2 linked regions of the Rattus norvegicus genome follow. The protein of the gene in region 1 interacts with the protein of each later gene in a pairwise test. Links are inferred from orthologs where the notes say so. Each region holds a gene or a part of one and is shown in the gene's direction. Other genes may lie near its edges.

What was found.
Region 2: the proteins of Mapk9 (region 1) and Arrb2 interact in binary tests that used the Homo sapiens proteins (3 or more experiments, as listed by UniProt). The two-hybrid records come from large-scale screens. The link is inferred for Rattus norvegicus from reciprocal best matches to the Homo sapiens genes MAPK9 and ARRB2.

The regions. Positions count from the first base shown.
Region 1 is NC_086028.1:34,669,580-34,673,596, forward strand, and holds the start of Mapk9 (mitogen-activated protein kinase 9), read left to right. Parts: upstream 1-1,193; 5' UTR 1,194-1,404; intron 1,405-4,017. UniProt on the Homo sapiens protein: Serine/threonine-protein kinase involved in various processes such as cell proliferation, differentiation, migration, transformation and programmed cell death.
Region 2 is NC_086028.1:55,644,176-55,648,444, forward strand, and holds the start of Arrb2 (beta-arrestin-2), read left to right. Parts: upstream 1-1,426; 5' UTR 1,427-1,504; coding exon 1,505-1,527; intron 1,528-4,231; exon of another isoform or gene 4,232-4,257; coding exon 4,258-4,269. UniProt on the Homo sapiens protein: Functions in regulating agonist-mediated G-protein coupled receptor (GPCR) signaling by mediating both receptor desensitization and resensitization processes.

The DNA.
Region 1 (4,017 bases):
CTCTTCAAATTCTGCCGAGATTCATGGGGCCTTCTATTCTCCTGATCTTCCTATATGCAGAGCCCGATTCCCTGGCTATTCCTTGGCATCCTACTACAGCTGTACCACTTGTCAACTACTGTCAGCATTTTTCCAATCCCTTATAGGCCAGTCCTCAGCCTAACCTGTTTAGAGCTTTTCCTCAGTGCGTTCAACCTCTCTTGTCTCACTTGCAGTCTTTCGATCAAAGCTCAGAGTAGTCAGAACCCTAAATTCTGTGCTTTCCAAACGTCTTATTCACCTCAGACCTTCTGGAACCTATTTGAGAGACAGAGGGCTGTAGGAGCGTCAACAAAAGCAGCAGTGTCAAAGACCGCTGTATAGAAGCCCTTCAGCATTGGAATGACGCCCTCCTCATCCCTCTACACCAAAGCAGAAACTTGTTCCTTACAACAGTCCTCTTTAGGTCACACCCCGCCAATCCCCTCACTGACTCACCAGCGTCATGGTCACCGTTTCTCCAGCCCCCACCCTCTGGACATCTGGCTGCATCCTTGTTATGAGCCCACTCAGTGTGGCTTACGCAGCGCATCCGCCTTAGTGAACAACAAACCCCAAGGCTCTGTGGCTTGTCCTCCCTCCTCCTCCCGGGCCGTTATACTCCAGGTTCCCAATCTTGCCCAGGTCTCCTGTCTAACCCGGTTGTTTCCAGTCCTTTTACCCCCTTTTTTTCCCAGGGGAGAGCACGAACGATTATGCAGTCGAGTTTCCAGCATTTGGAGAAATCGCAGGGCCGCCTCTCCACTTGCACCTGCTGCAACAGAGCCTGACTAGGCTCCTACACTGTAGCAAAGTCACGCTTCGCCCCTCCCCAGCTCTCGCTCCTCTTGGCCCACCCTCTCCGGCGCATGCGGGTCCCCTGGCCCTGGAAGGCGGGCTCAGGAGCTGGTCCTAGATTGACTTGGATCCCTAGTCCTCTGCGCACATTGGCAGACGCGCTTATAGCAAGCAGACGGCCAGGCGGGGAGCCGCCTAGGGGGCGCCACTTTGCACTAGGGTATCCAGAGCGCGCCACTGGCCTCGCCCACACCAACCCTCAGCCACGCCCTTACTGCCCAGCCTTGGCCCACCCCCAGTCTCGATTGGCCCCGCCTGCCTAGATATCCTTGTTCTGATTGGCTGGCCTGAGAATCCGTCAGACTGAGCGCGGCGGCGGCGGCGGCGGCGGCGGCAGCTGCGGAGCTGAAGGGAACCCGACCGGAAGGGTCGCTGCGCCCCGCGCCCCTCACACCCACTGCGGCGGCGACGGGGCGGAGCAGAGCGGGGCGGGGCGGCCGGGTCCGGGTCCTGGAGCTGGGAGCCGCCAGAACGCATCGCCGCCAGCGTGCCCTCCCTCTGCCTCCGGCGCGGCGGCGCGGAGCCGAGGTGAGCCCGGCGGGCGGCTAGGCCTGGCGGGGCTGCTCGGGCCGCGAAGGCCTGGGGTGCGGGGGGTGGGCTGCTCGGCACTGCCTGGCTTTCCACGGTTCCGCAGTCGTTCTCTCTCGCCTGGTGTCTGCTGCCCAGGGCTGCAGGCCGGCTGTCTGGCCCGGGCCCAGCAGACCTGCCCGCAGGAGTCTGTGGGCGCCTTCTCTCCAGCTGTGAGGCATGCTGCTGTACTCCGCTGCATGCCCTGGAGTCTGGGCTCTGATCCCCGCGACCTTGGCGGTGACTCTGACCCTCACTGGCCCTCTGCTTTCCCCTCCGCAGTAGTGGTAAAATGTCTAGGGTTTGGTTGGGGGTTGTTATCGGGCAGTGTAACTGTCTCAAAGCACTAGGGCAGAGAAGCCTAAGGCGCACAGTTGAGGGCGTCCGAGTGGGTAAATGCTCCCTTACTGGCACGAGTGTCGTAGGAACTCTCATCCGCTTAGAGTCCTCCCCCACTTCTCCCCCCAACCCCCGCCCCAGTGCCTTGTCATTCATCTTCAGTGCCCAGCAAAGAGCCAGAGTGGGCCCTGCCCACCTCCTCTGCCACTCCCTTCCCTCCTAACAAGAAGCAGATCTCTGCTCTCCTAGCCTATTCACCTCACCTGCTTTGGACATGCCAAAAATCATTTATTTACCTCAGGACCTTTGCACTTTGACTTTTCCATGTTCGGAGTTGTCTATAAGATTTTCGCCCTGCTGTCTCTTCTCGTATCACTTCCTCCTGTGGTTCAGTGTCTTGTTATTGGCGAGGCCTGCCTTGACCACCCTTTTCCCTCGCTTAGTCATTCCCGTTCATCAGTTTAGTTTTCCTTCCAGCACTGACTCTGGTTTGATGCTATCTGATTTATAGCCCAGTTTTTGTATAGCACTGTGAATACAGGTAGTTGTCTGGTATATTGACTCTCGTCTCTAGAGTCAGATCAGTGAATGAGCAGTAAGACCATCCCTGCCTATTATCTCTGCTTTGTCCATTTTGTTGGTGACTTTTAACTTGTGAAACTTGTAAGCAAACAGACTCTTATTCTCATTTTGTGAAATGTTTTAATGTTTTTAATCTCTTTCTAGCACCTGTCAGAACAATTTGTGATTAAAAAAAATTACATTTTTGCTAAGAGTTTTGCTCGAGCTTCCTTCCACACGTTCAGGAGTTATCTACTGAATTCTGTATTATCTAGGTCATGCTTTCTGCTGGACTCTAAGGACACAAAGGAGATAGCAACAGGGTACCTTCCCCCAGAGAGTCCAGGAGCCCCGTAGACACAGACTGGCAAGCACACAGTTCTAGGACAGGATGTGACACCAGCTGTAGTGAAGGGTCTGTGCCCTAGAAATGGAGGGTGTGGGGTGGGGGTGCTGGAGGGCCTTGAGCAGGGACGGACACAGAAAGTGAAAGGGCAAGATCAACAGGGAACTTTGCTCAGCCTGTGGCCAAGAATTAGCCCTCCGAGGCAAGCGTGGCATTGTGGAGTGCTGGAGACCCCTGGAGGTCCAGAACTTCGTTCAGCCTTTTTTTAAGAGCCAGGATTCCAAGTTTGTATCCGGACTCTGATATTTTAGCGTTGGCAATAGCTAATTAAAACGAGCCATTTGGTGCCCCGCCAAATGCGGACCTCATGCAGCACCGCTAACCTCCTGAGCAGGCAGTGTGGGAGGGAGAAGCTTCGAGGAGCAGGAACAGTAGCCTGAGGCCAGAGGAGCTAGGCCCTGTTCACCCAGATACCAACCAGGTTCCACAGAGGAAGAAATGGAGGCCCACAGTGCTTCAGTAGTCTGCTTCAGCGCAGGCAGCCAGTGAGAACCTGAAACCAGATTGCCCCTCCATCTAAGGTTCTCAGCTCTCTTTGTGTTTGCCTTCCATTAGCCAATCTATAAACGTTTCTCCTCTCCTTTCAGGAGAGTCCTGCATAGTTAAAAATAATTGTTGTTTTGGGGGCATAATCTCTAGAGACCTTTTGCTTTCCTGAGGTTTCAATTTGCAGGGTCTCAGGACTTTATAATTACTCGTTAACAGATGCTTCGCTCTATCCTTTAAATAAATGGCCAGGAGTGTACTTGAATGTGTCAGTTTCAAAAGAAAAAAGGCTTAACCTTCTGTACTAAGAGAAATGCCAAACGGATTAGTTATTAATGAGTGAACCAATTTTTAAAAGCTTATTATATATAGGATAAAACAAAATCTGATTTTAAAAGAAAAGTATTAATTGGTCAGTAGGGCTGCTATTTTTGACTAAATATGAAGTTATCTTTTACACCTGGCTAGGAAGGCGGCAATTTTATTTTAAAAACAATAATTCTTAATGGTTTGTACTTGGCCACCGTGTGAGTTGGATTTCAACAGCAGCGTTTAGTTGTTTGTGATGGGGACTTTCAGATTTGTTATAAAGTGGATGGCTTTACCAGCGTCTACACGTTTTAACTATGGCAGTCTCTTTTCATCCCTGATCTCAGAGCATGTAAACTCTCCTCACGTTGTGTTGAAGCAGATCCTTGACATCCCGTCATTCTGTCCATGAACTTTTTAGTCTATTTCGCTAAAACAAACAAACAAACAAACAAGGTTCTCTTAAAATTTTA
Region 2 (4,269 bases), about 21 Mb from region 1:
GAAGAGACCAAAGAGGAGAAAAGCCTGTCTCTGTAAGTCTAGAAATGTCAATCACCCTTGTCGTCTTCCGCCAAACCCAGTCAATGCTGCCCCAGCAATGAACCTCTAATATGGCCCCTCTGCTCCCCTCCACTCTCTGTTCATCATTTTCCCTCGGCTAGCTTATCTTCTAGCGAGCGGTCTCGCTATGCGACACGTTACCCAAAAAGAGAAGTCCTATCTCGACATTCCTCTGGTGAAAGCAAAACCCAATCAAATCAGCACTGGGCTGGAATTAGTGGTGAGCTAAGCATATGTGAGGCCCTAGCAGAAAATTAAATTAAATTAAATTAAATAAAGACTACAGTTCCTCGGGCTCTTTCTTTCACCTGCTATACACAGTCTTCCACCGTCTCTTCTATTCCTCCGCAGCTCTACCTCCTGCCATCTAACCCACAGACATTTTAGAACAGGGCGTGCTTTTCCTTACTCATCTTTAGGATGTCCTTTCCCCACTTCTGTCCATCCTTCAGAAGGGCTGTCCTCAAATTTCCTATGCTATGGAGTGACTGCACTCCCTCCTCCACGCTGGCCAAGCGCTTTTAGGCTTTTAGTTGCTTGATGGTCTGAGTCATATCTATTATAGCGTTCCTGGGAGCATAATACCTGTTTTATATGTCTCACGGATCCCAGGAAACTTAGGCCATGATGTTGTCCCGATGGCTCTGCACAGTGACTTACACAAAATAGGCAGGGAGGGAAGGATGAAGAATGGAAGAGATAAGTGGAGTAGGTGAATGATGGCTAGGATAGACGGTAAGGGAGATGACAAAGTCTGAATGTTTTAAAGTGACACTGCAAAAAAAAAAAAAAAAAATCAAAGACAATACACCAGGGGGAGCTGAAGACCACGAGAACGCGGGAAAGGTAGGCCAAACAAGGCTGCAAGCTCAGGGATGAGCAGCGCATACCAAAGCAAGCATCATCACGCAACAGATACGGCTCACCCACGTGGGCAGCCCCTTGGTGCTCAGACCCAGACAGTGTTTGAGCTCATTCCCACCGCCCCCTCGATCCCGTCCCTCCTCCGCTACAGTGAAAGCAAACAAAGGGGAGGGATCCCTGCAGGGCTATGGATACCAACGGCCAATCAGCTGCTTCTAAACTTCTCGAAGGCGGCCGCCTCCATTTTAAGGGGCCCAATCTAGTTCCAAAGGCTTGAGGAGGGGCGGGGAGATCGAGAGTAGGGACGGCGCGAGGAGGCTTCCCCGAGGGAGACTGAGGGCGGAGGCGTGGGGCGGAGCCAGCTCGAAGAGGGCGGGCTGCGCCGCGGCGCGCGGGCTCCGGCTGACGCAGCTGGCCCCAGCTCCCCTAGACCCAGACCGCGAGGGGAGGGGAAGGAGGAGAAAGAGTGAGGACGCGCGTGCGCAGTGACTCGGGGAGGAGTGGGGACCTGGCAGCGGGTGAGAAGGCTGCGAGCGAGCCGCGAACCCGGCGGGTGGAGGGCGGCGAGCGCGCGCGCACCATGGGTGAAAAACCCGGGACCAGGTAAGGGAGGTGGGGCCGTGCCGCGGGGCATGGGCGGCTGCTCGCGGAGTGTGCCAGGTTGATCCACAGACAAGGACACCGGGGAAGAAACCCCGGGGCCGGACGCCTGGGTCCCTAGAGGGTAGCTGTCCGGGGCCGCAAGCCTAGGTCCTTGAGGATATTGGAGTGGGGGTGCGTGCTGGGGCTCCTGCAAAAAGCAAGACTTGATAGAGATCGGGAAACCCACGCCTGGGTTCTCACAGAGATGTAGGAGTCGGACTACTGGGTTCTCTGCAGGCTGTGATGCAGGGGCGGAGGAAGGAGGAGCAGGTGGCCGGCCCCGAGGGGTTGTGTGCTGGGAGACTGGATGCTGGGAAGGGATTCCCCTAGACTCGTGCCCAACCAATGGAAAGCCTCCTGCCCAATACCCCACAGTCTGATTGCTCCCACCTGTCCCAAGGGTCGGATAGCTCTGCTACCAAACTTCTGCCTTCTCCTAGGTTGCTAGGAGCAACAGCTTCTTGAGAGAGTAGAGTGCATAGGGACCCTCGCTGAAATTGGGCTTTATTCCTGTCCTGGGGAGAGAGAGAGGTAGTATCTGCCCTGGACACACATCCTCTCCCCGGATGTTTTCTGTGCAATCGAGGCTCCTTCCTTCCACTGATACCAGAGTTCTCTTTTTTGGTCTATAGCAAAATCCACTTCCTGTTGTGACCCAACACCCCCAGGAGGACATGGGGTGAATACTTGAGTTCCAAAGGAGCAAGAACTAAATAATAGGTTGGGGCCATGTGCCTCAAGCCAGAGAGGACCAAGGATAAGGGCCTGATTATGAACAGTGACTTCTGCAAAACATGAGACCAACCCCACCACTCCCACTGCCCTTAAGTATTAAGAAGACCAATATCTGAGAGAGATGCTTACAGGGAAGATTGACCTCCTAGATTTGAGGTTAAACTAAACCCCAGAGAAAGGAGAAGTCACTTACTTGGGGGGGAGGCCCCCAAATTTCCGTTGAGTACTTCAGGGAGGGAATAGATGGACCAAAGAAAGACTGCTGACTTGGCATAATTCCCTACCATCTCATCAAATTCTGGGCCAGAGGAAATGGCGAGAATGGCAGGAAGTACAAAGAGGCATCTGCTTTAGCTGCACCCCTCCAAGCTGGGTACCTCCCTGGTAATTCCCTTGCTCTGCCTTCTTGGCCAAGCACACTGTGCACGCTGCGCCCTCCCTAACCATGGCTGGGTAAGAGCAGGGCAACTGACGGAGATACAATGATTGTGTGGTCGTCACAGGTTCTGCCAGGGCTCCCAGTGGGGGAAAATACAAGACAGGAGGAAACCAGAAGTAGGAGAAAGAGCCAACCTAGGTGATGTCCAAGCTGTCAGCCCTAATTGGGACAGAAATTAGAGTGATTATTCTAACCGCCACCATGTCCAAATGTGCCTTTATTACTTGGGGATACTTAGGGCAGCCTATGTATATGCCATGTGACCCTAAGTGTGTGTGGCCCAGTGATGTATGGGCAGCTTGGCTTTGGGGAAGGAGGAGACAAGTGGTTTTTCCAAGCAGAAACTCACATAGTGTGTTGAAGGGAGGATGGAACTCTGGGCAGTTTTCAGCCTGTTATCTGGGGGCCCTTTCAGGAATTGCTCCGGAGCCAAAAGGCCTTAGAAGGGGTAGAGTTGTTCTTGGAAGAACAAGCCAAGGAATGGCCAGAGCTCTGGGGTCACTAGACAGTTTCCTATCCTCCTAGCCGTGGGTGGAGTCTAGACTTAGGTTGTTCTAGTGTCTGTACAGAAAAATCCCCTTAGACTTGACAAACTGTGACAGGCGAGCTTCACGACTTAGTGGTTGAGAACAGGGTCTTGAAACCAGGGTGCCTTCCTCAGGTTTATATCCGAGTCCCACCCTGTACCTTCTCTGTGACCTTTGACAAAATTCTTGTTTGCCGTAAAGCCGGGGTCTTTTAGCCTCTGTCACTGGGCGATAAGAGCTGTAAACGCAGTTGGTACAGTGCTAGAACACAGCAGTCACCAGTCAATGTTAGCCAGAATCACCATGTTTGTCACAGGATGCTACTGTGTGGGGACCACAGTGGGTTTTTTTGTTTTTGTTTTTTTTTAAGCTGCTGAGGTCAGAAACGGGGCTGTTGGAGGTTCATGAAATAGTCAGACTTGGGGACAGAAACATCTGAGGGGCAAAGACTCTGCTCCAGGAGTCACTGTGTGAGTCCTTGAAGCTAGAGGTCAGTTAAAGAGTTCATCTGAGTGTGGTAGTTCGTGCCCCTTCATCCTAGCACCAAAGAGACAGAGGTAAATGGATCTGAGTTGGGGCCAGCCTGGTCTACAAGTCAAGTTCCAGGCTAGCCAGAGTTACATACTAAGGCCAAGGTCAAAAGGGAGGGAGGAGTGTTAGGTGTGACCCAGACATTGTGTAGCCATCAGTTGACTCTTGGTTTCGGAGAGGGTCCCTCAGGAGAGCCTGAATAGTTGGCTGGGGCAAACAGTGGCCATTTACTATAAGCGGAGGAGTGAGTTAGTAACATCAACAGCAAAGAGGAAAGGCCTGACAGTTGGCTTCAAGAGGCTTCAAATACCGGTGGGAAGCAGTAAAAAAAAGCAGTGGGAAGGGTCGAGCAGGGATCCAGGGTGAATTCCATTTCTCTGGGGGGAGGGATAAATCCCGGCGTGGTGGTCCCTGCCCAGCCTAAGGGAGGCAGTGGGGTCTTCCTTTCTGTTTTGTTAGGGTCTTCAAGAA